2 linked regions of the Styela clava genome follow. The main gene of each other region encodes a partner of the protein of the gene in region 2 in a complex. Links are inferred from orthologs where the notes say so. Each region holds a gene or a part of one and is shown on either strand. Other genes may lie near its edges. The genes, in order: mediator of RNA polymerase II transcription subunit 25-like and mediator of RNA polymerase II transcription subunit 24-like.

The links.
Region 1: mediator of RNA polymerase II transcription subunit 24-like (region 2) and mediator of RNA polymerase II transcription subunit 25-like share a complex: the UniProt entries of both Homo sapiens proteins name them as parts of the mediator complex. The link is inferred for Styela clava from reciprocal best matches to the Homo sapiens genes MED24 and MED25.

What each region holds. Positions count from the first base shown.
Region 1 is NC_135258.1:20,072,711-20,089,593, forward strand, and holds mediator of RNA polymerase II transcription subunit 25-like, read right to left. Parts: upstream 7,971-16,883; 5' UTR 7,869-7,970; coding exon 4,755-7,868; 3' UTR 3,415-4,754; downstream 1-3,414. UniProt on the Homo sapiens protein: Component of the Mediator complex, a coactivator involved in the regulated transcription of nearly all RNA polymerase II-dependent genes.
Region 2 is NC_135252.1:17,327,293-17,344,190, forward strand, and holds mediator of RNA polymerase II transcription subunit 24-like, read left to right. Parts: upstream 1-10,735; 5' UTR 10,736-10,835; intron 10,836-12,019; 5' UTR 12,020-12,030; coding exon 12,031-15,096; 3' UTR 15,097-15,151; downstream 15,152-16,898. Other genes in the region: delta-1-pyrroline-5-carboxylate dehydrogenase, mitochondrial-like, read right to left, coding at 33-154, 826-1,023, 2,428-2,572, 2,687-2,809, 4,562-4,749, 5,103-5,177, 5,527-5,682, 8,256-8,459 and 2 more. UniProt on the Homo sapiens protein: Component of the Mediator complex, a coactivator involved in the regulated transcription of nearly all RNA polymerase II-dependent genes.

The sequences.
Region 1 (16,883 bases), on a different chromosome or scaffold from region 2:
GTCTTATAAAGTGAAAATGATCCATAACACAGAATTCATGAAATTCTGAAAAGTGATCAAAACCTCATTTATTCCTTTGAATAAGGTCTTTCATAGACCAGTTTTTGGATATGAATTGTACATGAGGATTATTTTTCTGAATTCTTGGTACTGTCTTGAGGATGATTGTTGATGATTGTTGGGAAAAATTATTTTTCTCTGAAATTATACTATTCGATTTTGAATTTCCGTACTTAGGGATGGAAAAAACCGCTAGGAGGCTATTAATTCATTTCTAAAATTTCCTCAGTACAGTAGAACCCAATATTCTACCCCAAATTTTGCTGTTTTGTTTTAGTTGAAAATGAAAAGAATACTTTTATATTCCACCTAGGTGACCAGCTCCATCCCACTTGTCTGTTATTATTTTCATCAAACTCGGTGCTCCAAGGCAGCGGTTTACAAAATTGTGTTAAACATAACTAATATATAATTGAATATTTTGTATATTGTATGTATTATAAATTTTCATTGTTTTTTTCATTGCTGTGCATATGAATCAATAAATTCATGACTTTTCTATGTTGTCTACTCTCTGTTACACAGTTGCCTCTATTGTTACCTTGCGCTGCAATTTCGCGAGCTGCAGTTTATTTATCTGTTGAACCGAGTTTAGCAAACATGAGTAATTTTTTGGTATTTCAAAGGAAAATCAGGCAGAAATGAAGTAGAAGAGTTAAAAGTTGCCTTTATTCTTCAGGCCTTAATGTTTTCAAACATTAAAACGCATAAAGTACACATTAACGCCCACAAAATTGAGTTTTATTTAAAGGCAGCAATTCTTTTTCTGTGTGAGTGTGCTATGAGTTTTTTCCCTGATAATTTTTGCGCCACACAAACAAAAAGTTTGGGGACCACTGCTCTAAGGCCTTATTATACCGCTACCAAAGTGCAACCATATTATACACTTTATTTGGCTAGCAATGTCTGCAATATTATATGGTAGGACGTTTTTAATGTTGAAGAAGGAAGGGGAGAGGAAAGTCTATACGATTGCCTAATCATATGACGAACAGAGGTTCGGTGGCAAATGTATTCCTAACGCTTAGCACAGTTCGCCATCTTTGCAAAGTTCTAGAAAAATACACATTTAAATAATGCAGTACAATTTTGCAATGCAGTTCACATGATTCTCTAACCCAGTGACCAGAAAAGTATAATAGTGTGCGAATAGTGCGAATAGTAGTAGTACTAGTACTAGCTATAGGCCTAGTAGTACTAACCCAATGTCGAGTAAATCGTGTCAAGTACTTTTCCAATACAGCTACCAACGAAAAAACGATGTAATAACCAGTAGCTGACTCCATGGAAAATTTAGCTTCAATGTTGTTGCTATGATACGAAATCGCTATAAGAAACTCAGCTACATGCATGAGTGATTAATAGGATTTACCCGTTTATCCCGTGAAAAGGAAAGCCGATAAAACGGCTTAATAACGTGGCGAACCACCGCCTCTTGTCCGGTTACCAGTATGATTGGGACCCCGGGAAATCCCGATCCCGAAATCCCGGGATTTGGACTGTTTTTTTTCAACCCCGATCCCGCAATTATTTCCTAAAAATCCCGAGATTATAAGATTTTGTTATTCAAATATGGATATTCTCACAAATGATAGGTTATACCGTAGTAGTATATATTTACGGTTATATCAATTTACCGTCCACGCTTACAGTTTGAGTAACAACTGTCCACGCTTACAGTTTGAGTAATACCAGGTATATTAGTCGTTGGTCAGACCGTAGATTTTATATTGTTATGCATTGTCTCTGGTCAGACTAAGCAGAATTATTGTGCGAAATTTTTCTCAATTGTACTAAGGAAATATTATTCGACTAGTAGAATTTTCATTATTGACGACTCATTTAATCATAATTTGAACTTAAAATAGCATTCAGGATTTACGCAATGACTTTGTGCGTTTTTATTCAATCAATCAATCACTATTTAATACGAAAATAAAACAGCCACATTAGAAAAGTGAAATCAAGAATGGCAACCATCGTTTTAACAAATATCCGCATTCCGGCGTCAGAAATTATCTTTTCAGATAGTTTCTGCGGCCTGAGAAGTCGAATAAGCGTTTCGACATGGTAAATGATCTATGATCTTTGTCATCAAATTATGACAAATATCGTTGTAATGAAATACAGTTTGTTTGTCACTTCCATTTCTCTCGCCAGTATCGGCAATAACACTATTGAATGATTTTGGCAATGGGAGAAACATATTGAATTGTAACAAAAATGAATTAGGTTGTAAATAAGTGAGAATACATGTGACAAGCAATAAGGGCGTAACGTGGAAGGGCGAGCAAAACCGAAGTGCGTGATCAGCGGTGCGTCTGAAGACCACGTATTACCCGTGCGGCCGGGCAACTTTTACAATAATGTGAGGTGCTCCGAAGACGCTCTCGTTTACATTAATGTAAGAAAACAGTTGTAATATCGGTAACTATCAACCATTTGTTCTCGTTCGACTATCGCACTCTTTATGAGTAAAAAATTTTCATGTTTTGTGTGCCACGGATATTTAAAGAGTTAGTAAACACATTATATAAATATCGAACCGTATAAACATACGTGATGTAGATATAGTTGGATGTATGTCGATACAAACACGAAACCAGAGATGGTCAAACGTATTGCAATTCAGGCTTTATGCAACATAAATAAGGACAAAACAACGCAAACCGCGATCTATTTTGATTAATAATACTTCAATTGCATCTGAATTATGAATTTTAATGTTCGAAAGATCACATTTTCAAGACCAGCGGTTTTTGTCACGACATTCAATAATCAACCATAATTGAATAATTTCTTTATCATGTTTTTGAAATACTCATTTTGCAGAAGTGCAGCAAACCTATGAATGTGTTGTAATGATTTTTAAAATCACATTGCAACTTGTTGAATCTTGCATACAAAATGTAGTAAATTTTTATGAATCTGTAATATCGTAACTCCTATTTTATCTGCCAATAGTATGTGATTGCAAAGAGGGGAAAATGCGTGCTAACGAAATATCGTTTATATCCCTGCGAACAAATTTACTGTTAATCCATGGATATCATTTAAATTTTCTCAATCACCTTAAATCAATCTGCAAGCGATAGAGATAATTTTGGCGGTCTAGTTTACATTTACTGGAAAAAGATTACCAAAGTAACTACGGTAATTAAATAACTCCTTGTGCTGTTAAAAAAAAATCATTTCTCTTGCCAATCTGATTAGTCGACTTCTGGGTATATGATGATACCGTTGATTACGCTGCGCATAATGAGAACCAGACATAAAGCAGAAATTTTACTCAATGATTCTGAGAGCTGCTCAACCGTGATGAAACGGACAAACTTGCTGTTATAAATAAATTACTGCTTTCAAGAGAATTATATATTATATGTATATTCACACATGAATCTACACGAGTTTAGCAGTCTACTGCAAAATTATGTTTCAAGAAAAATGCTTGAAAAATTACACAATTTAATAACTCACTGAACAGGTAGTTCGCAACTAAAAATTCTACTGTCCCGAAAAGCGTAGTAGCGGCTCTATGTGACGGTGGCTGATTGCTGAAAAGCTTGTTTGAAGGAAAGGTTGAAACTGGGTCATAAAATATACCCTAATTAAATATCATAAAAGAATAAAAACGTAAATAGAAATAAGATTAGTATATACAACAAAACAGCAGTTGAAAACAAGTGATCAGGCCAGTGTCCCCCATCATCAAACTGAGTGTGACATGTTAAAACAAAAACTGTTCACACTCAAAATATTTTTTTGGGAAAGGCGATATCATTTGATTGAACTCAATATCTCCATTTCAAACTAGTAACGCCTTAAAAACTTCATGTTGACCGTATTTTTTTTTTAACTAGATTCCGACATAAATTTAAAATCTCAAATAGCGGAACATGGACAGATTAATATTAATATATTAGCAAAAAAACACCAACCCAGCTTTTAAATGGCATTTAACAGAGCGAAGTTGTAGGCCCTAATTTGACCAATATTGTTCAAAATATGGGAATGATTCAAATTGGCTGTGGTTGCTACCGATGGATTTTATAAATAAGAATAGTAAGATGGAGAAGTAAATCAATTGAGTTTTTCTAAGAAAAGAACATGATTCACAAAACAATTTCAAGGAAAAAATACAAAAACAGAGCAGTAACTCTTTTTGGCAGTATCTCATTAACATATTGAGCTGATCTCATTGGGGTAATCGAAGGAGTAACCTAAGCGTAAATAAAAAGCTCTAGAAGTATGTGTACCAATATGGAGATGACTAAATTTTGTTTGCCTATTTATATCAAGTTGTGTAGAGGGGAATAGGCACTTGGCTAACACAGACAGTCCCCGAACTCTTAATAGAACTAAGATAAGAAAAAATCAGCATGAAATTAAGGCCTAACCTGGTACACATACTACAGGAGTACCTATATTGGAACACACTACCTGCTTAAAAATCAAATAAAAGAGGAACTATTATCATTGAGACTTACTGAATCAAATTGCGCGACATATTGTAACAAAAAAAGAAATCCCCTAAATATATGAATAAAGGGGATCATTTTTGAATCAATATTTACATAAAGTCATTTGAGTCAAGCAAATGAATAATTCACAGTTTGGTTGAGTGTATAATAGTTTGTCCAGATGGTAAATTTATTTTTCGCAACAAATCTCTACAGTCAGCCATTTTCGCAATGTTACTGCATATTAAACCTCTGCTGTTGCTGTTGCATTGTCATCATACGTGCCCCCTGCATGCCAGGATGCCGCACTTGCTGATTCTGAACAAATCCAGAAGCCATGTTTTGTGGTGTCTGACGCATTCCTGTATTCATGTTTTGCATTCTTGGACGCTGAATATTCTGCCCCATGTTGTTACCGCTTTGAAGAAGCGTCCTCAATTGTTCATGAGATCCAGGACCTGACATTTGACCCACCTGGCGTACTTGATTCTGCTGCTGTTGAAATCTCATTCTTATTTGCTGCCTCATAGGGTCATTATTTTGGTCTATTTGCTTCTGAACTAAATTTCTTTGTGGATTAATATTATTCTGGTACATAAACTGCTGATTTGCAGATTGTTGCATATGTGGCTGATTTATGCTGTTCTGTGTAATCTGTTGTTGTTGTTGTTGTGTTTGCTGTTGATTTATCATCATCGCTTGCTGATTGGATATCTGACCCGTGTTTTGCATCCTCTGACCAGGTCCAAAATTCATTGTTCTCTGGGGCTGAGAAGATTGCATTTGCATACCTCCTCTCACTTGAGACATGCCAGTATTCATTACGCTTCTTGTCATAGACTGCTGTTGCATAGTATTCATAGTCGGTCTCATGTTGGGATTTGAATTAGGCACATTGAACTGGTTTGGTGCCATTGAATGAGTATTGCCCTGCGGTTGAAATGAGCTCAAGCCTGACATTCCTCCACCCTGATCCACATTGCCTTGAAGTAACTGTTGTGCACCAGGATTGTTTGGCCGAGACTGCGTTGGTTGGCTAGGATTATGTCGAGCTATTACAGATCTGATTGTTTGTATAAAATTATGGGGATCAAGTGGAAGAACCCCGAAAAATTGAGAAGTTTTTTGTGAATATATTACTAGCATAACTTTATTTTCTGCAGAATTTTGACTCGGAGAAGGTATCTGGATTAATCCCATCCACTTATTTTTCATAATATTTGCCAGTTGTTGCATTTGGTCAAGTGGGGACATTCGCAAACTGACAGAAATATTATTCTTCATTTGATTTTTCATTGAAGTGAATACAATTTGAGGAATAAGTTGCATGTTCAGTTTGGTTGGCCACAGGTTTGCATTCAATGATTCATCTGATTGAGTTGAGCGCAACAATACCTTGCATTGGAGAGTGTGGTTAGTTCTTGCAGTTCCTTGAATTCCTTGTGCTATTTTTCTTTTTTCGGTCCATTCTAAAATGCCATCCCATGTTATCCTCATGTTGTCTGTTGGCTGTCTTGTAGCAGGTTTTGGAACATTCCCAGTGTTAAGATATGTTGATGGTAGCTCTTGCCCATGATTTAAAAGGTGGGTTGGTTGTTGTGCTGAACCACCAATGCCCATGTTTCCAGCTTGTTGTTGAATTGGATTATTCATCTGATGCATAGTAGTGACATTTCCTTGAATCGATCCTGATTGCTGAGAGGGCATAGATGAATTGAAACTCTGTCGAATGCCACGGTTTGGTGGGAAAGAATTTGATGATGAAGTAAATGTATTAATATTGTTTGACAAAATTTGTTGATTACTTTGCATTCCGGAATTTAATGCATTAGGAGTACTGTACGGCTGCGCCTGCTGCATGTTTGAAGGTACAGAAGAGAATGTATCACCTATGCGTTGAGTTATTTGTTGATTTCCTAATCGTTGCTGTTGTTGCTGGTCTTGCATGGATACATTCTGCTGTTGAGTTTGTTGGTTGTACATTCCATCAGAATTTTCAGGAATAGTGGCCGTTATTCCTCCCATGCTGTTTGTAACCATGTTGACACTACTATCTGAGGGTTGTGGGAACGAAGTAACATTGGAAATAGGTATCTGCGTATGTGACGAATGTGCATTTGGTTGCAGCATGTCCTTAAGATTTGTGGTTCCCACATTGCCAGATCCATGAGACATGACGCTGTTGTTAGATGCCTGACCAAGAGATGATCTGGAATAAGGAGAGTCATTGCCAGACTGTAATATATTTGAGTTCTTGGAATTGGTAAAATTCATACTCATGTTAGACTGCTGCGGTTGAGGTTGAAGATTTTGGCTTACAGAGAAGCTTGGCAAACTTGTTTGCAGCTTTCCAAGAGAAGTTGAATTTAAATCCTGTGCTATCTGTGTTCTCATTACAGACTGCCCTGAAGGTAATGAGTTCTGATTTGTATTTGTGGATGCTGCACCTGTATTGATTAGCTGTCCAGGCTGAGATTGTGGTACTGAAGTAGAGAAAAGTGAACCGGGAGATGATGCAATAGAAGTTAGTTGTGTGTTGTGAGTAACTGTGGTAGATGATGCAGTTTGATGTTGAGATGGACTTGGAATAGAGGAAGAACTTGTGGCAGAAATTGAATTCAATGTGTTATTTTTCGATGCATTTTTTGAATGATTTTGCTCATCTTTGATATTGAGTTTCACAGGATCACGCTCTGTAGGAAGTTGAAATCCGCTGATAAGAACAAGATGTCTTGGATCTTGAGCATAATTCATAGATGGAAGTTCATTTCGATTAGCAGAAATGAATAAGTCCTTGAGAGACCTAATTTGTTGCGGAGATATCACTGAGAGATGAATACCTTTAGTACCCATTATTTCTGCTAGCTTGCCAGCAGTGTGACCATTGTACATATAAGCTTCACTGCATGGAATATCATAAGGTGGAGAATTGCAAACCAAAAAACATACTTGCATGGAACGTTCATGGTGACGCCTTTGGGCAAGTTCATCAAACAGCTGTAGGGTCCTCCCAAGACCTTCAGACACAAGGCTAGATCGTTCACATCCTCCACCAGAAAATGAAATGGAGTTCAAACTGTGGGAAAACTCCCAAGGGCTTTGGGTGACATTTGAGCATCTTGTTACTAAATCAGGGGCACAGTCTGCAGAACTGAAGAGAACATAGCCGAACTGACTGTTGCCGTGGTTACCAACATAATCTAATGGGGATGGCTGTCTTCCGTTAAAATATTCAATTGCTGGCCCTATATAAGACTTCTTTATCTTTTCCCAATGTGATAGCATATTGGCTGTTGCCTCAACCACAACAATAAAATCAACAACTGTTGGATCTTTCGATGCAACCATGTTTAAAGGATGTGATGTTTCAAGCAATCGAGAAATATTCAGAATATAATTCAATTATAATCAAGCTGTGAAATTGAGGTAAGTATTGCATAATGTTATAACAAATAGATTGAAAGTCTAATAAATTAGCACCTCTCTCAGTTTGTAAGTGAAATACAATTTAGAAAACGATAGTTCCATAAATAGAATCGATTTGAAGCTGTGGAGTTAGTTATCATAGGAACATGGTACAGTACAGGTAACTCAAAGCTGAAACAGGTGTTTTGGGATCCTTATGATGGCAAGAACTTCTTTCAATGGAATTTGTAATTTCTTATGATGGCAATACTGTATTATCCATCTATATACCAAGACAAATAATTGCGCTCTTGAATTTCGATGGCTGTTGTACACTAACAATATTATAGTCATCAAATAACAGAATAATATTGTCATCAAACTAGCTTTGAATTTGGTAAATGCAATTTTGAATTTGAGCAACAGTTTTATCTATATTAATGTTTGTTATTATTTTGCTGAAAATTACACAAAAAAAACATAAGACTAGTGAATAGGATTAAAATAGCATCTACAGGCCTTACATGTCCTATTACAACTGAATCCATTAGAATTGAGATTGCAATTTTTGAATAGTGCAATTATTACTCTTAACACTCAACAATTTTCGAGACCCAAATTTTGGAGTCCTCCAATTTTTTTGATCAGTTCATACAAGCGTGTGATCTCCTTTCATAAATCTGAAAACATTGTATTACAAAATACCAGCTGTAAGTAAGATGTAACTGCACATACGTTTCCACAACATCGAAGGGCAGGCGTTTATTGTATGTTAGAGACGGATTTAGGATTGCGCAATGATATTCGATTATTCGGTTCCATTAGGCAAAAATATTCGATTCAAATCGAAAAATTATTCGATTTTGGACAGCCCTACTTTAAAGTATTCTACTTTTTCTATATTCAGAATTAAAAATAGTCCACAAAGTGCCTGGAAAACATACAAGTGCCCGATGTTCTGCTCAGTGGACATGTATACTAATACGGCACCTTTCGCAATACAAAATTGTGTAAAATCAATTCAAAATGGATAGAAAAAAAATTTCTATAAAGTACGATCAGTATAAATTAATAGAATTAAATCGTGTGATTTAGAAAGGGGCTCTCTCAGAATTACAATTGATACTGGATCAATTTTAGTTTGGTGTTGAGGAACTTGTATGACCTATAATGCCAGGGCTATTCTTTGTTAGCATCTGGCCATTTGTTTGTATTTCCGCTGGGGCTGAAGAACAGGAGCTGTAATTGGAGCCAAGCATACCAGTACCATAATACTGTAATAAATGGAAATACCAGAAATTTTATCAGCTCTAGGTCCTAACCATCAAATTAGTTTTTACATTTGTGTGTTTGTATTTTATAATCCGTCAATCCATATATTCTACCATTTTAGATAATACTTTTTCTTAACATTCAATTTCAAATATAAATTTCACATTAAATTTGTCGCATCTAACTTTTCATTTCAGAATTTAAAATTATTATACCGTAACTTGTTTCCCCGAATATAACAGGGTCCTATTTCAATTTTCTTTAGAAAAATACCACCAACTTAGGGCTTATATTTGGGGGATGTTTTACTAGGTACAAAATCACTAGTTTTCGAATATACAGATAGGCCTATACAAAATACAGAAATATGGAACCAATGAACATTTAAGTTACTTATCAATAACACGTTTTCATTTTATAAAAACAGCTCTCCCAGACCTGAATTTACGTATCGTACCCTAACAACTGAAGTGTATCAATTATTAAAATGTATCTGTAAGATTCTGTTGTCAGATTATTGTAGTCGTCTATTCGTTAGGTAGTTAGTGTTACCGTATCGTCTGTCTGTACTGTACCGGTACCTTTGTTTAGTCAAATTGAAGTAGCTTACATATCATATTATTTTTCTTTTTTTTAATGAAAAATACAAGATTAGATAAGTTTATTTCAACTCCATAAACAGCAGAAAGGCGATAAAATGATTGATAAAAACAAACTATTAAAATCTGATTATGAAATCACTGAATCAGGAGAGTAAACAAAACCTTGCACAAGGTTTAAAACGTACAGAATATAGGATGGAAGGTATTGCCAAAAAGAAGTGGTACTTGTTCACTCACCTAAAACTATTGAATCAAATCATTCACACTCGCACACACATACACACAACCATGGGGCATTAATAAAATTCGTAAAAAAGAGAAGCTTCAGATAAATTTGTATGGCAACCAAAAATAATAAAAATTGTTTGCCACGCCATTTAATAATTTTATGAAAATTCTCAAACGAGAATGAACAGTATTTAGACTATTATAATAAAGGACAAAAAAAAAGATTTCGCCAAGATTATTATAATTGGAGTCAAATACCAAATTGCCCAACCAAAGTTGTGTGCATGAAGAGGTGGGCTAAACCTTTTCATTCATCAAAGACATGCCAAAATATTATCAAATTGTAATCCAGATTACATCAATTACCGGTATTAAATACTACTGCATACTGGCAACAGTTTAAGTATAGTATAATTAGATTAGGGGAATAAAATAATATCAAAAAGAATCACCAACAGTAGTCTACATTATCAATATTATTTATCAAATAGTATCCTCTATGTAGCCCTGACTACGATTCTAATACTCTCTGCGGTTTGACGATTATTGCGGAACACATCAGTTCGGAAACAACATACCAGAATTAAGCCACACTGCCTCAAAACGTCATCTACCGTACCTAGGAAATCCCCTACAGGGTACTGGAAACGACGTCGCAATGAAACAACGGAATGGTGAAATTTAACTTGGCTTACTATGTTAGTTACGTAGGAGTCAATAAAACGATCCGATTTAAATTTGATGGTGGTTCCAACTGCCAAGGTTGTGTTTCTAGCAAAAATGGAACTTCAGACAAACGTTGTGTGTGACATATACCAAACAGTACCGGCTGCCGCAGAGTTCTCCTTAATATGTTTAAAAAAAAAATTAAATGAGCTGGTTATCAGTTTTTATTTCTTTGCTTTTATCAAAAGTTTTATCGTCTCTTATGCCAATGACATGAAACATGTCAATGGTTATGCTGATTGCTGAATAGGTATGGAGTCAAAATACTGATATGTTTTTATAGTTCGTTTAAATTCCATGTGTCTTTGAGCTGAAAGAAAAAGAGAACTCGAATATGATTGTTTGGATTTCCATACATTAACTCAGAACGAGCAAACCCTTGAAACTGGAGGAAAACAACTCGCATCGGTAATAGACACCATTATGAGGCAACAACACAAAGAGTTGGAAAGTGAGGTAAACAACTTGTTCTGTATAAATCTATATAAATAAACTCGAGGTCATTTTCTCCCTCTCTGTTTTTCTCTTATTTATTGTTCTTTTTCGAAGCACGTTTCTCTTGTCTTTTACAATTGGTTTACCACTGACGAGACTACGACCAGTTTTCATTGGCCCGGTAAATTCGACAAGGGTGTGATAGGATTATAACTCGCAATAACTGTTAAAACGTAGCGAGTAACGACCCTCACCGAGAATACAGGATGCTCAAAATTTGTAATCCGTCTTCATTTCGAATATATATTTATAGTTCGTAATTGATGTTTGTCTAACATGGTTATTCGCGAGCTAACATGACTGCAGGTGCAAATATTCGCGAGTAAAGATGTACATGATACAAATGAGCTTGGGTACAAATGTACGTAGGTAAAAATGTCCTTTCATGGAAATGTAGGCCTACCTGGGAGCAAATGTCCGTACGTGCAAACGTCCATGGATGCAAATGTGTATGTAAATGTACATGATACAAATGAGCGTGGGTACAAATGTACCTAGGTAAAAATGTCCTTTCATGAAAATTTAGGCCTACCTGGGAACAAATGTCCGTACGTGCATACGTCCATGAATGCAAATGTTCGTGAGTGCAAATGTCCACGGGCGCAATCTATATGCAAGTGCTAAAACTAATAGGTGGAAATTTAAGGGTGCAAATGTCGGTGAGTAGGCTACAAAAGTATTCAGGTGCAAGTGTCCTGGGTGCAGTTAACGGATGCAAATGTACGTAGGTGCCAAGGTGCTATCACCATTTCAGGTATGAATCCTGAGCGAGTATTATAAGGAAATCGAAATGAATATAATTGGTTTTCAGAACACTTGACGTTTCATGATGACACCATTTTTGGTTACTAGACTAGCTAGAGGGACTTCGCAAGTTATGTGAAAAAAAAACATTTTGGCTGTGTTGCAATATCGTGCGCTCATCAACGTAATTCATATTTTACTTTTCTTGCTAAACAGCACCGTATGTATCTGTTGAACTCCTTTTTTGGAAAGTGCGATTCGATACTTCTTGTTTTCGTCGCCTTGGATGTATGTTTCTTCCCTGTCTCCGGACTTCTGTTACTTTTGAGCGCTTTTCGACATAGTTAGCATTATAACGTGGTTAATACCTAACCGTTCGAATGCTAAAATCTCTTCAACTGAAATTCTTATTTGACAATCTCGCAGAACTTAATATTGGCTACGATTGCAAACAATTTCGTATGGTTTCAATATTTCGTTGGAGTATGTTTTTTTTTTATGGTTCCAACAAAGTGGAATTTTCAATAATTAAATATTTAATAAGACGAGAATATCGGTCGGAGACCGAAGACTTATCGATCGAAACTGCGGTTTCAATTCATGACTCTATAGTGACACCGCGTATCCCATCACTAATTAATTAATAACTTGCTAATTATACGAATAATTAATCCAAAATTAATAAGCTTCTGGTCCGAGATATGATGAATGCACATGCAAAATTTGGAGCAGATTCAACCACGTCTTCGTGAGATATCGCGTGCATCTAACAGCCAGACAGACAGACAAATACCTATCAACATACTTAACGATTAAAATAGATAAGTAACAAGAGAGCTATGCTCAAATATATGGACACGTAGCGCCACCCAATGGCAATAATTTTGATGACGTCATAGCGAAAAAAAAAGTAATAGCCTTCTGGAGAAAAATTTTATCTTCAACCACTGAAAATTTCAAAGCAATTGGTCCAGTATTCGAAGAGAAAAGCGACTTTTTAAAAACGTGTCAAAGAACAACAACAAGGACAACAAAAACAAGAACAACAACAACATAATATTGAAACGATCGTTATGTCCACTACGTGTCCAATAAGTATATATATACATTAACAACAGCATCATCAATCTTATGCATTTTCATTAAATCCATGGTGTTCCGTTGTTCATCGAGTTGATTTCACAGTTTAATTTTAATTAGTTATTTTTAATTAAACGGGAAACAGTTGCTTCTCCATAAATGTCACATAGCTGCTAGCGATTTGTCTTGAAGTTGGAGGGATTTTGAGTACAATTGCTTTCAGAAAAACTCGCGGGAAAAGGTAATAATTTGGACAAACATTTTTAACAGTAAAACTTTTTGTTGTTTCTTTTCGTATTAGGAAGAAAATAGCTCACATTGAACTGATAGGGTGGTTCACGTGACTGCTGGTCGGTTATGGCTTCCTCCACCATCAAGTCCACGCAACTGAAACAGATATCTGGCTAACTAATCCCATGCCCTACGCGGTCTGGTGATCGGACGGGAGGCAGGAATATGTAAATTATATCCTAGAATAAAATTATGTGTCGATACAATCATCTTAATAGTAAAATTCATGGGTGTTTATATTTCATAAAAAAAATACATACAAACCAAATAAAAATGGTCATTTAATACTTGCTATAAAACAAATTTAAGGTTTGTATTGTATGATGTCTGGGCTTTATCCGGTTATGATTATGCTTTCTGTCTTGGGAATGTCGTGATGTGATGAATTGAGATCGTCTTCATTTTTTTTCAAAGTTGTGTCATTCTTTTCCAATTTGTTATTCTTGTCCTAATTGTATTGATCAACTGTTTTTGGATCCATGGTTATATTATTTTCTGAATTGTTATTTTTTTCATTTTCAATCCTTGAGCGCTTTAAAGATGGGGTTACAAGGAATTTATTGATAGAACCTCTTTGCTTTTCATTTTTAGCTTTCTTTGCCTTCGCCAATGATCTTATCTGGTTAGCACCTAAACACTTGCGCCCTTTTTATATTATATTTATCTTTTTTAGAAAACAGTACAAAATTATTAATCTGAATTTCTTGAATAAAGCAGAACAGAAGAATTTAATTGCTAATGGTGACATAACGATGATTTACTGAATTTCCCATGAATAACAAATTAATATTATGAGAAATATTATTGCACTTTTTATTTTGCATTTTCAGTAGTATTTTGTACCTCATAACACAGAAAAAGACCCCCACTAGCGCGGGGTCCCTTTAAGTTGCGGGGCCCAATTTGATAAAATCGGTCAAATCGATTTGAAACCATCCCTGTGGACTGAGATAAGCGCTCAACGCCAAGCACGCCTTTGCTGACCAGCCAACTAATTCATAACAAGCCCGGTTGATCGAGAACTTATCACTCGAGATGGTAAACTGGCGGCAGGAATCTGGCAGTGTTGAAGTAAGGGGTTGTACAGCTTCTAAGCATAATTTACGGGTATTGTATTACGGAGCAGAATGAATAATAGCCGAGTATCAGAACATAGATATTCGCACTGAAGCCTTGTTTAGGCACATGTTTATTGATTGATGGCATATTCATGGTATCGCCGGATACATACTCATTCGTCTTCAATTTTTACGGGCGATACATTGACAGACTTGACTGTGTCGTTCTTTCTTTTTGTCACAATCTTCCTATAATGTAGTACAGTCTGTTTTTACTTATTTTCCTTGTGGCAGGCTACTACCAAACATGCTTTTACAGAAAAATTCATTGGGATTCCTACATTCAAACCAGCAACTTTGCGGGAAAAATAGGCCATTTTACGACGATACCTCCGCATGTTTTAATACAGCGTTTCCCAAACTGTGTTCCGCGAGCATCTTCCAAGTGTTCCGTGGGAAAGAGACCAAAATTACGACTAAATTGGTCGCCATAGCTATCTCGGGATTGTGAAGTTATCGCACAACTGGCCCGTTCGATATCGCGTCACGGTCGGCCTAAATCGGACAAAGGCAAAGGGTCAGTTCTCTTCTTTCTCAAGCTCTGCCTGGTTTTACTTGGAAATGTTGAAAAAATCACTCATGTTCGCTAAACTCGATTCAGCAGATAAACAAACTCCAGCTCGCAAAATTGCACCAAGTACTTCTAACTCCATTGTTAGGTAACATTAGAGGCAAACACTACGTAATAGAATGTAAAGAAAGAAACGACAAAGAAAGGTAAAATGAATTTATTGATTCGGATACACAGCAAAATATTCGCTGATTATTTGGTTTCTGCGAGACTAACTACTTATCCTTCTTCTATGCTTTTGTGCCGATGGATCCGTAAGCATATATTGCAAGGATGCTGTAGCAAGAGTAGAGATAACAATCCTAAATGATTCAAGAGTCTTGCTGCACACTAATACAATTATGTTTCTGTAACGTTTCGTCTGACCAAGGTCAGACTTCTTTTATCATCATATTTTAGGTATGTTGAATACAATTTTGGGGTCTCGTGTAGTTTCGTACCTAACGTACTTTTAGTCGACGTAGCATAACAGTTTTTTGATATGTCAATCCTAACCCCCATCTGATTACGCCATCCAAAAATTAAATCACTACGACATCACAATCACGTCATGAGCTTGCCAAATATACGCACAATCGACCGAAATGGCATTGGCGCTTTATCAATAAATTATCTGAATCTGAATCTGGCGCCGACGATAAAGAACTGACTGACGTTATCGGTCTCTCTCCTATTGGAATCGTTGCGACGAGAAAACTAACTGTTCGATTAAGGGTGCTCGTTTGCGCGTCTTGGATGGCAGTTCGTATAGTTTGAAGGGCTCTATTACGTCACTGTGACGTCGTAATGGCGTAATTTTTTGATGGTGTAGTCAGGTGGGGGTTAGGATTGATATGTGAAAAATTGTCATGTTACGCCCACTAGAAGTATGTTAGGTATGAAACTACATGAGACCCCAATTTTGTTAGTTTTCGCGGCGCATTTGGCAACTCGCCGCGGCGCACTAATACGGTAGTAGCGCACCTTTTGGGACCGCTGCATAACATCATTTTTCTTTATCAATTTTACCCTTTCATTTTTGGTGTTCGACGAGGCGAGATAAAAAGCGTAAGTGTTCCGTGGCCAAAAATGTTTGGGAAACGCTGTTTTAATAGATAGTTTTTTTTTACCAGTGGCGAAATTAAGAAAACCCCGAAACATTTCGCAAACGCACGTGATGTCAGTTGTCTCGTCAGACTGAATCGAAAGGAACTGGCAATTCTCAATTTCCAGAGCCAAATGTTGTAAATAAATTTTATACATTGAGTCGAGCAAATCATTTTGGATATCCTTAGATGTCCCTTTCGAAACAGTTGCGGCATCAAGATGATCTCTCAATACTGTATCTAGGGATGCGGTGTATTCCACCATATCCAAAAATACCCCTCTATTAGAAGAGCCAGCCCCTTCATTGTGCCCACGGAGGGACAGCTCGTGACAACCAATTAACTTCAAAACATCTATCAATCAACCGAGAACATGGCGGTTTTTCTCGACGTTTTGGTTGTGCCGACGAATAGAAACCGCGCGTCCTTCATCCAACTGTGCTGCAATATTAACATTTCCGAATGTTCGGTATTTTACTGCATTGTCCAGATGCTCCATAGAAGATTGATGATCCCTGGCACGCTCGAAAAGATGTTTAAGATCTCTAAAACCAAATTTACACCAACGTGAGTCACGGGCGGTAGCAAAAAGTAGGCAATAAAAACAAAAAAGTGCATTTTTGTCCTCGCTGTAACACAACCATTCGTGTTTTTTAAACCAAGTTTCTGCGCAGAATGTACGCCGACGCTTTCCTCCATCATGGGATTGTTCCAGTGAACAATTTTTTGGTTGATAAGGCCCAAGA
Region 2 (16,898 bases):
AAATCTACTAACAAAGTAGCAAGTGGACTTACTCATCGTCGCAAAATATAGATCCGGTTAGAGCATATGGTGAAGTACTATCAATTAACTTTAAAACATCTTTGTAATCGGAGTCTTTGTAAACATAACATGTGAGAACAGGCCCAAAAATTTCCTGTTAATAATGAAATTTGGATGAGATATATAGAAATGAAGTGTTTCGTTCAAGTATGCAGGCAGGTTTTTTTTATAATTGATTTTACTCTCCTCCTTGTTCCTCGAACATACAGAAAGGCCGATTTACTTCCATCTGACGTTTTATATATTAGTGGCCAGCAAATATGGGTCTAACATTACATATATGTTTTCAGCCTGATGAAGTAGGATAGGATTTTACATATTTATCCCGAGAAGAGTCGATAAGACGGTTTAACCATATGACGTTCCATGGCCTCTCGTCCGGTTAACATTCCATGTTGGGTATGGGATTAGTTGTTTTCGGATGCCGTAACCGACCAGTGGTTACGTGAACCACCCTACGGCGGCGAGGAGTTCTCGCACATAACCATCCCCGCATGCCACGCAGAGTAATTAGAGGTGCAGTGGCGAGCGTATTCCTAACCTTTAGCACGATGAGCCCCACCACCGTGCCAATTATAGCCCGGTCGCAAACTGGCCACGGTATGGCGGTTGCACACCACTGCATAAGGTACAAAAGGTCTTGATTTAAATAAGAAACTCTTGATCTGTTGTTAGAGAGTTTTATACAGAGGAGAAAATGTTACTAAAATCTTGAACACGGCCATTGAATATGAATGAAATTTCTAAGTATTATTGAAAACGAACCTCTTTCATGAGTTTTTCATCTGGATTTTTAGACAGAAGAATCGTAGGTTGCACAAAATAACCTTTTGAATCGTCACAAGTTCCGCCTGCTAATACTTCAATATCAGGTGATTGATGAGCGTGTTCAAGATAAGAACGAATTCTCTCAAACGAGTTTCCATCGATCACGGCTGAGCTGAAAACACTGAGATCTGATGGCTGTAAGAACAGAAAAACAAAACTAGAATTCGGTTGGAAATCGATGACTTATCGATCGAAGGTTAGGGGATCCCCCAAAACAGTGGTCTTACTCCATAGTGACACCGTGTGTCCCATCACAAATTAATTAATAACTCGCTAATTATACGACATAATCCATCCAAAATCAATAGGCTTCTGATCCGAGCTAAGATGAATGCACATGCCCAATGTGGTGCAGATTGAACCTCGCTTTCGTGAGATATCGCGTGCATCTAACACACAGACATACAGACAGACAAATACCTATCAACATACTTACCGATCAAGATCGATAAGTAAAAACAAAGAATTTTCCATGCATAAAGGATGTTATTTTAGCAAACATATAAACAGGTCAAGATTTCATGATAACTCTATTTTAATTCCTGGGTCTAGCCCAGGGGTTCCCGAGAAGATTTCCAGGGGTACTTGGATGGCAGTCGAGTTTTTTCGTGTTGCTGTTTTTCAATATCCTACATTACTACAAAAGGAAAATGGGTGCCGGGTGCCCATTGAAACTAGATGCCAATTGGAACGTATATTTTCCCTGATCTTGCGTTGTTGTGATTGTGTCGCAACAATGTGAAATTCACGGCTTTGCAGGCAAACTGTGAAATTTCCAAAGACAATGTGCTGCGAGCATCGGAGAAAGTGATTATGCTTATTGAAACTTGGGAGAGATTTTAAAAATACATTACGGTAGTTAGGTGGAGGACAAGGGCAATAATTTCAACACGAAGATTTAATTTAGTTACATCTGGTCAATAAATTGCTGTTGCAACAAATTGTTAATCAATATATCAAAACTTTGTCCGGTGTCTGATTACCGGGGGTTCACGTTGATTGTTTCGTGGCTCGGGGGGTACCTGACAGAAAAAAGGTTGAGAACCCCTGGTCTAGCCCTTCTGATTGTTTAAAAATAGACGATCTAATAATTGGATTTGCCGATACCCATAACAAAAGAATATAAAATTCATGAAGACACAGTAAAGGCACAATTTACTGCCAAACTGCAACTTGAGAGATGAAATGCTATTTTACCTCCAGAAACATGTTTTATCTAACACAGTAGTTTTCAAACGGTGGAGTGTGTCCCACAAAGAAAGCATGAAGTCAATTAAAAATAAGCATATTACTTAGATTTGATCTGTCCCGCCTTGTTTTGGATCTTCACATTTCTTTATTTTGGATATTTACATTCCATCCACGTATTTTCAACATGATTTTTGAATAAAACATACTTTCGCCTTACTATCCGCTATTTGTAGTTTATTGTCACTTGTCAGCTAGTTATTTTTAAGGTGGGACTTGACAAATTCTAGAAATAGGGTGCGGCTTAAAAAGTTTGAGAACTCCTGATCTAACATATTCAGAACAACTTACATTCCCTATTTTTAATTTCTTCTGCGCCTCAACAAGAGCTTCTTTTACTTTTGGCCACATAGATTCAGCAATATAGGCCCGAGAACATGCAGAACATTTTTGACCACTGTATTCAAAAGCTGAACGGATAGTTCCATTGACAATGCTGAAATGAAATTTAGAGTAAGTCTACATACATATCCAAATAATTGACATAACTCACTTTTAGAATAGCTAATATACTTATTAACATAGCGACCAGGATAGAAAAAAAGCTCACTTTTCGATATCTCCAGATTTTATAAAATGGAAATTTTTTCCTCCACATTCACCTCCCAGCCTTGGAAATGTTCTGTATTTGTGAAGATTTTCTCCTACTTGCTTCCACAAACGACTGAATGTCCTGAAAGAACATTCAACATTGAATATTATTCTCGAATATACATGTATCTAGCTATGAGTAGGCTCAATCGTTCTCAGGGCATTTTTGTGCTCTATCCCAGGGGTGTCAAACATGCGGCCCGCGGGCCTCGTGCGACCCCAAAGCACTTCCAATGCGGCCCTCGAACGCTTAACAATATTTATAATATTTTGTGAGTTTTTTTTATCTAAACTTAATACATTTTTTAAACCTTCTAATAAAGTGAAATCGATTATTCACACAGAAAACCACAATTTGTGAAAGTAGTTTTGGAAAATTAAATTTTTTTTGTTTGCAATTGAATACACCTCAAGCTAGCAAAAGATAACTTAAAAAAACACTTCAAGGATTAAATAAAATGCAAAGTACATGAAGAAGGTGGCATTTTTGAAAAAAATGGGAGTTGCAATATTTCTACATTTCTCAAAATTCTAAAGCACATTGTTTGATTTGTCACATTTCCATCAGTAGGCCTACAGTGAAAGAATACAATACAATATAGACATAAGTATAGAAGCTCAGCAGTCAATATGACAATTTTAAAGATCAACTTTGAACAAATTTTTTTATGTGTTTGTATATTACATATATATCATAATTATAAGGATACCTAGTTACTGAAAATCAATATATATCAATCATAGCTCAAGCGGTCCACGTATGCCACGTGATGGTAGGAAATGTCTAGTCTGAAAAGTCAGTCATTTGTTTGTTTACTGATCTATACATGCAATGATAAACGTAATATTTTTGTATTACTGAAATGAATCAAACATTCTCAACGATCCAGAATAATCGATGATCATGTGGCCTCTTTAATTAGAGTTGGCACTGTAAAATCATTTCAGCCTGATATTAGTAAGCCTGTGGCACAGAAGAGCTGCCAAACGTTTGCAAACGAACGAAAAAAAAAACAGTTTATTCTGTAGTATTTTTGTAAATTTTAGGCTTATATATTTAGATTAGGTACTTTTTGGTGTATGTATTATTCTTTTCTTATCAAAACTTTGTTCAAAAATGTTTTGGATAGTTGTACATAGAAATTTATGATTTTTTGTAATAAATACAGAAAATTGCAATAATATCGAAATGCAAAAATTAATATGTAAATGGCATTTAAATTCGAGAAGATTTTGCATTACAATATATGTCACAAACTATACCTTTTTAAAAATAGGCTTCAAGTATACATTATCAAAATATATCAAAAACTATTTGCGGTCCTTTGCACAATTCCCAAAATGCAATGCGGCCCTCGAAAACCCACGAGTTTGACACCCCTGCTCTATCCGATACTTTAACGAGTAACATTATAGAAATAGAACAATGCTTGAATATAAGGACATAAAAATGGCGTCTTTCTCAAAAGCAGAAGAAATGGGTACCAAAATTAATTCTGAAGACATATGAAAAATTATAACCATAGATTCATTATGTTCTATCTTAACAACGAAAAATGCTTAGTACTCTGAATGTGTAAAATCCAAAATTGATTCAGGACATATGTCATAAATGCTTCTCGCCTATATTTTTACATTTGATGATCACGATAATTCTGTTTATGAACATTGTGTGTAACTCACTGGACATTTCCTGTAAAGTTTATACCAGCGAGATATTAACACAAACACATTACTCATTGTAGCAAAAGCCACACCTCGTAAACGCTTCTCGCCTATATTTGACATTTTACGATTATGATAATTTTGTTTACAAAAATAGTGTATAACTCACGGGACACTCCCTGTAAAATTTATGCCAGCGAGATGCTCAGAAGCAGTAATTGTGTCACCAAAGGTTGGTCCATCAGCAGGCAAGAACTGTATAACACCAGGGGGTAGTCCACACTCTTCTAATATTTTGTAAACAGTCCAGTTTGACAACATAGCTGTGTCACTTGGTTTCCACAGTACAACATTTCCCTAAAAGGAAGATTGAAAGTAAGAATATATTCTAGGACAATAAGGGAACATTTTAAATTCAATAGCAATAAGACCTATTTTCCGGCTAATAAGCAGACTTCACTTTAAATGAGGATTTTTCCGTATTACCACCAAAGAGTCAGAAAAATTATGATACTTCTCTTCTTCAAGTAGGCTCTATTTTTATAGATTTTATTTTACTCATTGTTTACTTAGTTACGCGCCAAATGAGCTCTTTCTCTTTTTGATACGTTTACAGATGCATCAGATCATTGTCCAAGAAAGAAATGACAAAGAAGATATGAATTTTTCTTATCTCTTGGCTCGCATTAAAACAGTGAAAGTATATTTACCATCATTGCAGGACTTCCAGCTAAGTTTCCCCCAATTGCTGTGAAGTTGAAAGGTGATATAGCAGCAACAAATCCCTGTAGGATAAAACAAGCATGATACATAGGTCCTTACTATTATAGTAGCATCAAAAATTTGAAACGTTCATGCAATGTCGAACTAGATATATTCTGTTCACTTCAAAAGCAGTATCTTCTCGTTTCGAATAAACATAACCCATAAAAGAAGAATTTGGAAACCTTACATTAGTTTTCAAGAACCATAAATAGATCAAGACTCAAGTATAAACAAACATAGCAGCTTTCTGTTCAAACAAATAATGTATTGGTTGTCTCCTGTCTCTCTACGATAGAATAAAACATTTTTGACAGTTTTAAGTTTTCTCAATTAGCATATCTTGTTTGATAGAATGTTAACTTTACTTACTTCAAGGCCCCTGTATTCTGTGGTATTCGTATATACATCTGGACTTGGACTAATAGGTTGTTCTTGAACCATATCCAGGGCATATTTTGCATTAAATCTGAAGAAATCCACCAACTCCGGACCGGCATCAATCTCTGCTTGTATGATACTTTTACCCTGGAAAATGAATTCATAAATAAAAAGTAAGCTAATCTATAATCAAATATAAAAGTGAATTTGGGTTATGTTAATTAATTAATTGACATTAGTCGGTATTTGTGTCTTCGTTTATACATTTCCAAGGGATAACCTCTGTTGGCTGTGATCTCTCACCCATTTATTGTTAGTGTACTTATCGGACCAAAAAACCTTTATACCCAAGTTTTTTGACAAAAACTTCAGTTATCTGGGATTCACTACTTCAAAGCTGTTCCCTGATTGTATAGGCATGAACTGCTTTACTAAGTCTCGTGTCAATTGGTATTTATCTATGATTTTACAATTTATTTATATCTTTCAGTATCTCCCCATAACTTCGCTCACAAACAGGGATGGCCATTTCCGAATACTAAACTATTCCGAATACATTCTAAAATAATGTTTTCGAATCTGGAATTCCGAATACATTCTAAAATCGAAAATAACACATTTTTGTTTTAGTTTATTAAAACCCACTAAATCAGGAAATAAGCATCAATAGAAATATCAGAATGAAGCCACAGACCAACAGTATATGTACACAAAGTAATTGATAGTTTATAGCTATTAATAAAAAATAATAGCAACTTGTGACACAGTCAGTTTATTAAAATTATTCACTTTGTACAAATGACCATATGAAAAGATAGCCAAGGAGTTGTCTGATGCTTTCTATCATTGGTATCATGATATTACGATAATAGTCGAGTCTATTGACAAAAATACTACTTGCATTCAGATAATTGTGTATATTTTCTGAGAGTAATTAAATTTATTGGCAATACAGGCAACAACAATCGAAAATCCATCATGCCTTTAAAAATTCTAATATTTAAGCCTTGAGTATTCTACTACCTACCAGTATATTTGTATATAAATTTATGTGAACCATATTGTTATTATGTGTAACATATAGTTGTGTTTGGAGTTGGAAATAAATTAGTAGAGAATAGATGACCACCACTGCCAGCGCGCAGCCAGGATTTTCGAAATCGGAAATTCCCATTGCCGCCTGTAAGACCCACCGCGATTCCGCACTTGTTAAAAGAGCCGTCTTGTCAGCGTATAATGATCATTCTGTTAGGTAAAATATTCAATCCATGACAACTACGAGATTCTAAAATATCTTTATATATTAATTTAATGTGTCCAACATAACTCGCGGTTGCTTCTTCTTACGTCAAAAAAAAAAAACATTACTATTCGGTCCACGGCAATCTGTGACCGAAAATTACGAGATAAACTGCCTGATGTATTTAATTTTAATATGTATTTTTGCAATCTTGCCAACTCGTTATCGCCGTTAGAAAAATCTCAAATATTTATATAAATTCATGTTAAGTGTAGAGAATAATTCATTTCATACAATGAATATACATATAAAGTTTAGCAGTAAATTAGAAATACATATTCATCGCCGCGATTATGCCACCTGTTAGAAGAGTCGACTTTTACAACAAATAATATAACAACGAATATATATTTTTCTGTTGTGCAAAGTGATGAATTCGTGACCGACACGGGCATATTTAAAATGTCTTGCTCTTATTAATTTAATTGTCTTCAATTTATCCTGCGGTTGCGTCGACAAAATAAAATCCTAACCACTCTTATATACCGTTGCAAACCACGGCCATAAAAATAAAAACGTGAGGTAAACTGTCCGATTAAGTATTGTTTTTATCCGTATTTTGCGAATTCGGCAAATATTCAGATGTACTTGTTAACAGTGACTCCGCTCGATCGAAATGCTCAGAGTAAAATATCTCAGAGTAAAATTTATTTCATCACAATAAAATTGATTGAATATACTTTAGATTAATTATATTATATACATCCTCACAACCAGGGAAAAAGTCGCGTTTCATTCAAACCTTGTATCGTGTTAACACGAAAATATTCGACGGCAATTTAAATGGATAATCAGGCAAATCCCGCCCTCAATTAGTGACGATATGTTTCTAAACGCCGACCAAACATAATGTGTGCCAGAGGCACACGAATTTTGCGATTTTCACTGCCTAGAAAAGCGTTTTTTAAATTTTCCCGGGCCTCAATAAAACTTATGTTGTTCACGGTTTTATTTTCAGTATTTTAAATTGCCGCTTTTCAATCAAAAAGTTGCGTTGTCTTTAGAAACTCGCCGCCGATGAACGTATTTACCAGATTCACAATTCCGTGCGCATACAAAAATAAAATAAATGTTATCGTTATCGTGGAACAAATTTGTGGAAAATTTTCGTTTCAGAGAAAATAACACAATCGTAAAGGCGTTTACGGGCCTAAATAACACGTTACGCTGATGAGTGATGAAAACAATCACGCGCAAGTTTTCTATCGAGAATGTTTTCATTCAACGGAAACATCTTGAAAACGGCGTCGAAAATGAGTGACGTCACACAAATATCCGATATTCTTATGAACTTGAATTCCGATATTCGAATGACGAGATATTCGAATACATTCGAATACTTTATTCGAATTGGCCATCCCTGCTCACAAAGATCAAATTCTATGACTAATGAAAATCTGTTGAATATAAATCATGTTACCTGTCCCGCCATTGTAGTAGCCAACACTTCTGCTCTTTTTTCTCCAGCAATTTTATCTGCTGCTTTCAAAAATATTTGAACCCTATCTTCAACTGGTTTTCTTTCCCATTCAGCCCGAACAGAAAGACAGTTTTCAATAGCTTTGTTTATGAGGTCAGAAGAAGCATAACAAAACTTTGCTATCTTTTGCTTGTGGTTATACGGCTGTAGAAAAACATAGACAAAATATGGTATAATGGTATATCTAGATATTAAAAAAATTATGTCAAATATGAAATAGCGATGAAAATAAAGCAAATGTATTCTGAAAGTATCCAACACATTTACATAACCTAACGCTGATTCGCTGAACATAAATAAAAAAAATTAAACAAAAGTGTGCACAGTTTATAATGAATAATCCCATCAAAGTGAAAATCAGACATAACAATAGATTTTATCTTCGTTATCTTTTCCCTGCTTTCTTTACAGTGCAAACCAGAAGGATAGGTTAGGATTTCACGGACTTAATCATAAGGCATACCACAGCCTCTCATCCAGTTACCAGTCTATATCGGGTATGGAATTAGTTAGCCAGATATTTATGAACTATTATTATGAACTTGAGCGAGTGGATGGTTGGAACATGAACCACCTTGAGGTGAGTCTAGCAATCCTCTCACATATAATCATCCCCTACAGGATTCAACTCATGTAAAGTAACGGGAAGTGCGATGGCAAGTGTATTCCTAACAGTTGGTGCAATTCGAACTTACCGAGACTTGATAATGAATGTCGTTTGTTTTAACATGTTCACCGCCAATAACAATAGGTATGTCTTCAACACGAGATTCAACTAATTTCAAAGCATCCAAAACATCTTGTCTTTCTTTTGATCCAGGAGTAAAGTCATAAATCGGTTCATTCTGAACTGATAGACTTCTCGCAGTTATTTGTAACCTTTCAAAAAGGAAAAGATTTTGAATAAAATGCTTAGCAAATATTTTGTATTGACCATTGCTGTATTAAAAAGTAAAATGTCAAGTATTGCCCTACTACTGTACAAACATTATTTAAGGATTGAACTATACACTCAATTATATCAGTATCAATTGGAAATAAACAGTAAAACATGTTTGGTTATAAATTCCGGGAGAAAGACCAGCAGCTATGAGAACTCAGGAATTGTTCTGTAACAACAAAAAATCTGCAGATACAGAGATATCTAATCTATCTGCACATAATTTAAATTTAGGAACTCGTACAAAGAAATTGACCAACTTGCTAAAGCACAAACAGTGGGAAATAGCATGAAAAAGACCATGGGATAACATTTTTTATATCTTTCGGTGAATATCTGTATATAGAAAAGTTGATGCAACAGCTTAATTCAGTAAGTACAGGTACCAAAAAAGCCGATACCTAACAGCTTTTACCAGAATGTAATAAATTGAGTACACAATGCCAGTCCTTCAGGTTTAGCAACTGTATGAAGTACGGTATCAGTGGCTACCGTAACTATCTGACTATCAACCGTAATAGAGTCCTTCAAACTATGCAAACTATCATCCAAGACACGCAAACAAGAACCCGAAATCGAACAGCAATTTCTCTCGTTTTCTAGTCGCAACGATCCCGATAGGAGAGACATTGCTAACGTTAGTCAGTTCTCTATCGTCGGCGCCGATGCCATTTCGGGCAATCGTACGAGTATTTGGCAAGCTCTATGATGTGATTTTGACGTCGCAGTGACGTAATTTTTGGATGGCGTAGTCAGGTTAGGGTCTCATGTAGTTTCGTACCTAACGTACTTCTAGTAGGCGTAGCATAACAATTTTCTCATGTGTTAATCGTAACCCCCACCTGACCACACCATCCAAAAATTACGTCACTACGACGTCACAGTGACGTAATAGAGCTCTTCAAACTATGCGAACTGTCATCCAAGACGCGCAGACGAGAACCCGAAATCGAACAGCCATTTCTCTCGTCGCAACGATCCTGATAGGAGAGAGATCGCTGACGTTAGTCAGTTCTTTATCGTCGGCACCGATGCTATTTCGGGCGATCGTACGAGTATTTGGCAAGCTCTATGACGTGATTGTGACGTTGTAGTGATGTAATTTTCGGATGGCGTAGTCAGGTGAGGGTCAGGATTGGCATGTCAAAAAATTGTTATGCTACGCCTACTAAAAGTACGTTAGGTACGAGTACGAAACTACACGAGACCCGCTCTGAGTGCAGGAGTGAAGCACTGGAACACTTCTCTCTTTATAGCAAATTTTTGGAAGCCTCAAAGTATATGTATTGATATTAAAAATTACGCACCTGTGTTGCTTTAACCCGGTAAATATTATCCTTCTTCCAGAAGACAACATTGCGCTATTCTGAATGCCGTACAGTTTAAACAAAACGTGTTGCACCGCGAACTGCTACACTCAAATGCAGATTCGGTCAATCCGCAAGGAAATCCGCTGTGTTGACAGTCCGTAGGTTTGGCTTTTCGCAGCCAATCAAATAATAGAAACGCGGAACGCCCATTTATCGGATCTGCTTCAACTGGGCCTCCCCCTCCTTTATGGGCCACAGGAATATTTTTAGGTGGGTTAGGAATCTATTAATAATTTGATTGTAGTAGCAATGAATTATCCTGCTGTTTTTTGCTACAGAGTGGTAGTTTTTATTCAAAGTAAGTGTCTATTTTGTTTTGTTTAGAACTTTTGTTTTTCTCGTACTTTTTCCTTTTAAAAAAATTTGGTGCAACTTAAATGCGTAACGAGAGAAAAAAAAACTGGCTCACTGGCTCGGACAGATTTTCTTGGACCAATGCCGGAGGTACTAATTATTTGACATGGAAACTTATAAAGATATTTTACAGCCACCAACAAAAAATTGAACCAATTGGCTTGGTTTAAAAATTACATACATTTGAATCATTTGTCGTGTATTCCAATTTTAGAAAAAATGTCAAAAATATTATTCCGCATGATGGTGCACAGGATTTTTGTTCCCATCTGTACTTTGGAGGATTATCACAAAATATTACGAGTTATGAATGTTGGTCGTACCGTCCAGTGGTTTTAATTAAGATGGATTATAGCCTAGTGAGATAAAAAAGTTTTTTCAGTTGTATTAAAAATAAACAATTGCGAGTTAAAAAATATTTATAAAACATGTATTTTACTAGAACTAAATAATCAGTGTTTTTCACATTTATCATTAATTGAACGTAATGCAGTCATACTTCTTCTGTGTACTGCAAGATATAAAATATGGTTAGAAAGTAATGCAGTTATTTTTGAAAATGTTAATCCAAGTGTAAATAGTGTCATAACAAGAATTAGAAAATCCCTTTTAGCAAGGAGAAATATAGAACAACTTAGACATAATCCTAGTTTTATAAAAGAACTAGACATAATTTGTAAGATTCTATGACTAATTGTATAAATTTTTATTTTTCTGCTATAAATTAAAAACATATAAATTAATGTATATTTACTGATAAACATGGGAAACTTTATCTGGAATCAACAATGGAATAATATGAATTGCTGGATAATACTGGATGATGTTTACGAATATATTTGTTTATTATATGTAACTATGTTCTATGATTATTATTTTTTCATCATTTATTTATTTTTACAAAACTGTTATGAATCCACAACGTGGACCTTTAAAAAAAAAAAAAAAAAGAGATAAAGAAGTTAGTGTTTTACAAAACTCGAATAGAATAGAAGACTTCAGTTTATACATATGTACTTAATTATTTGATTTGTTTGCAGGTCAAAAAATTATGCAGGTGTCAGTTCACACCGTTTTCAAAAATGTAGTTCTTAATGCTTGGAAAGAAAGATGGAGTGAACAGAAATGGACTTCAACAATGAGAAAATTACTACAGCCAGGGAATGTTGTTGACATGTTTCATATGGCTGATGTTCTCTTCTCTCAAGCATTCATCGGAAGCACACCTAATACAGTTCTTCTTAGTTATTTTAATTACGGACTCAAATCGGGGACTTTGTCTTATGCAGCTATATTGACTGCCATTTCTAAACATGAGGATCTTCAAAACACTGCTAGCATGGATTATACTTTGAATATACTCATGAAATATATAGAAAAACTAAACAAGGGACAAATTCTAGAAGACAGCATGGGCCTGTGCAAAGCTTTGCTTGTGATTTTGCAATGGCTTTTGAGAAATATTGAACAATATTTAAAAAGGGGTTCAGGAACTTCTGGAGTTGAAGCTGAGAATTTGCAAATTCAGAAAAACTGCTCAACTTTGCATTCCTTAACTACATTACCGAGAACTGCATCTCTTCTGACTATTGCAAGATTTGAGGAGAGCAGTGTTTGGAGCCATATTGAAACTGATCTCGCTGTAATTAAAAATGCTGCTGTTGGACATAACATGCAAAATGATGTTAATGTATCATGTAATAGTGTATCTCAACTTGCTCGCTGTAATACAAAAACATCTGCAGTATTCTGTTTGCCAAAAATACAAGGAAATGAATCTCATCATGGCATGTTGGTGAATATGTTTATCCTCCTAGAAGGTGAATGGAATAAAATGACTGATCCTGATACTTTAATTCAACAATTGCTGTTGCTCTCTCAACTTTGTGATCTCAATGTTTCAGAACTGTGTCTGGACTTGATACGAGCCTGTATGATGGGATTCTTAGGCAGCATTGATGGAGATAGGAAACACAAATGGTCATCTGTACTTTTTCTTTCACTTCCCCAACATCTTAAAAGACTTAAATCTGCTATTGTGTCAGGAAATGGTTCAGATTTTAAAAAGCTGTCTTTAGAAACAGATTTTGAAGATGCGACGGCAAGTGCTTTTTCAGAATTATTGCAATATGACAGTCTTCTAGATGTGTTAGACCAAATTACTGGAAATTGTGATTGCCTAAGTTGGCTCATTGATCGTTGCCTATCTTTCGGCATATTAAAAGAAGATGCTGCAACAGAGCTGAAAACACGAAGACTCAGCATGGCCAAAGTTTCATCACAGCATCCAACACACGCAGTAGAACCGAGCAAATTGATAAAATACGAGGCAACTGCCCGTCAGTTACTTTCAGTCATAGACACTTCTGCTGATTATATTTCTAAACAAGAAAATTTGCTTGCTACATTGAGTCAAATGTCAAGTAACTTTAATATTATCTTGGCAAGTGGCTCAATCACACACAATGTACAAAAGTTTGCTAAAAAATTAATATTGTTTAATGATGTTGTGAAATCCAGCACTGCCGAAGGCGGTAAAAGTGCACAAATGAGATGTCTTCTTTTTGATTTTACGCATTTTCTAGTCTGCCAAATTGCTGAACAGTATGGAAAAAACGTTGTTTTAGGATCTATGGCAGACATGGATTCTAGTAAATACTTTCTATACAACTGGATATCTGTTTACTGGCCTGATGATAGAGGTCAAATATTGAGAAATAGTAAAAGCGAACTTGATGTTGATGACTCTCGTATTAAAATGTATCTTGAATTGTTACAAAACAAAAGGGAACGAACTCAAGAACAATCGTGCAGTATAAAAAAATGGCATGAGATGTGCACCAATTTGCCAAGAGCATTCATCGAATTGGTAAAGGCATGGCAGTACAAAGTTGTGAGCAAAGCAGATGTGTTGGGTGCCTGTGATGTCATATGTAATATATTATCATTGTCTATCAGACTGACTTGTCTTGTTGAAGTAGCCAAATATGCTTCAACCGTTCCAAAACTATTCTGGAAGGAATTGAAAGAAGTCGTTGAAAAACTTTCAACGCATGGATTTATATCGCCACCCGGTCAAGAAATACATGCAGCAAAACGTACAAACATGTTTAAAGGTATATTGGAAGTGTTGATGCCAAATTCAAACCTACCTGGTGCACAGGATAACGAGCCTGTGAAATTTCCAGCTGATGTTCTTTCCGATTTAATAACAGAGTGCAGAGAGACAGGCTGGATAGGAAGAAATATGCTCTGTCGACTTGAAGCTGTTTTGAAGCGGTCCGGTGCCAAATGGTTTTGCCATCAACTTGTTTCACAGTTGTTGTCACAAACTCGCAAAGATATTGTTGAACGAACAGCTACTGTTGTGGGTGGAATATTTTTGTTAGATGTTGAGAGTTTTGTCATTTGCTTGTTAAGACACGAAATTCCGCACTATTTGACTGATGAAGCTGATCACATGATTCTCTCTGCTCCTGCAGGAAATGTTTTAGCACAGCTTGCTGTTAGCTGTCTTGCTATAGTTCTTCATAATATATCTTTACAACAAAAAGCTTGCCTTTCACAAAAAACAGCAAAAGAAAAGCTATCGCATCAACTTCTAATGTCTGGAAAAGAGTCATTGGCTTCTCATCAAGTACATTTCCAAGATGAAGTCGGACCCACTAAGTTGCGAAGACTTTTCAGTTCGACTGCAGAGCATGATTTGGCAGCAAGTGCGTTTTCATCTATACTTGGCCGCGAAAATTCTGCCACAGCTCAGTCTAAGCATTCTCATGTAAGAGAACCAGTATTGAGAGCACTTAGTTACGCATTAGATATTATGAATATGTCGCTTGCTGAACGACAACCCGGTCCTCATATTGACTTTGCAGTTTACTTCGTATATCTGGCATCACTGTGTGGCGAATTGGTTTCTCAAGCTGTTTTGCAGCTGATGCCATTAACCATGGTCACAGAACTGGCTGCTATGGCTAGTGATGGCACTTTCAAAATTTCCAAGTTTGATAAAGAATTTGATAGTTTTAATTTTGTGTTATCTGTATCTGACCTTGGCCACACTTTCAGCAGAAAAGTGGCTGCAAAGGCAATTTGTCAAATGGTTCTTCCCGAATAAGTCGATCATGTTGGAACATGCTCTTTAAAATATATATGATATCAAAGAATATAAATGGCTTGTGTTTCGAGAGTATATCTGGTTTCAAGCCCTAAATCTCAGCGCAGTTTAAAATATTTGACATGTCATCCCAATTTGAATAGATTTTACATATTTATCCCGGGGAGAGAAAGCCGGTTGGACCATGACCTCCCATCCGTTTACCAGTCCATGTCCGGGATCTTGCATCTAGCATTGTTACTTATCGATCTCTAGATCGGCAAGTATGTTGATAGGTATTTGTCTGTTAGATGCACGCGATATCTCACGAAGTCGTGGTTGAATCTGCTCCAAATTTTGCATATGCATTTATCATATCTCGGACCAGAAGCCTGTTGATTTTGGATGAATTATGTCGTATAATTAGCGAGTTATTAATTAATTAGTGATGAGACACGCGGTGTCACTATAGATTCATGAATCGAAACCGCAGTTTCGATCGATAAGTCTTCGATCTCCGATCAATATTCTTGTTTGCCAGTTATTGGTTTCAGATGCATGGACTTAATTGTGCAGCAAGCTGTAACCGACCAGCGATTATGTGAACAATCCAGCAACGGCGAGGAGTCCAGTCTCACTCTCGCATATAATTATTATTATCATAGGGATGCACACTCGTGAGAGGTGCGGTGGCGAGCGTATTACCAACGCTTAGCACGAAGCGCCAATCGACTGACTGCACTTTCATTTTGAAGGGGGAAGGCCAGAAATGGTGACGTTTTGTGGTGATCGCAATCGATCAAATGACCGCACGAGCATCCAACGCTAATTTTCTTCATATCGTTTCAATAGATCACGTGGTAGATTCAACGAGTTTCTTTAATAAACGAAGTTGAGAAGAGTGGCAGATAAATATTTTGACTCAGCCTAACATTGTGCTGAGCTATATTTTTCGATGTTAAAGCGTGTATTCTTCCATTAATTTAAAGTTTAAACCAAAGCCAATCTGGCCCAGGAGTATGCATCACAAAAATGCACTAATCCTTTTTTTGGACTTTTTTTTCTGAAATAATATCATCAACTGTCTTCGGAAGTGTTTCAGTTTTTTTTCTGTAAGCAAAACCAGTCACGAAAAAGCTAGGATAGAATACAATAAACTGCCAGTACTTTTTCTCGACAGTAGCTGTAATATTTTAAAGCTAAATTGTGTTTTTGAAGAAGTGTACTCGCTTACAAGCTCTAAATTGTTGGGAATATTAGTTATTCGGACAACAAACTCACGAAAACTCTCTCAAAATGAGCATCAAAAATTTTACCGTCGCGGCCTGCAAGTATAAAAGTCGATATGCCAATCGAGAGGGTTAGGGGCAGGGTCATTTTGCAATTGATTATATTTTACTAATTGATTCAACTTTATAACAGCCAGTACAAAGGACGTTTGATCAAATTATGTATTTGGCCAAGTAAGGTCTATACAAACATACACACGCAATGCAACATATAGAATAAATTCACTTCCAATGTCTCAGAACTACGAAGCTGTATGCTCTTCAACTTTTTAGTTTAGGGAGGTGTTCTCAAATTTAGCGGTGGTTAATATTTTGCTATTCCCGATAAAACTATTTGTAACCCATAAAAACGTGTTATGTATTTGACTGACCATATACGCGCCAGGTTCTAGGTACACTTACAATCAAATACAATGTGTTTGAAATTTCAGGCTGGGTGTTCAGCCTCTGTAGGGGGTGTAGGGAAATCACTGTAACGAAGTGAGATCCGCCATGAGGTACATGACGCCTGCATTTCGAGTCGGATTGTTTTAG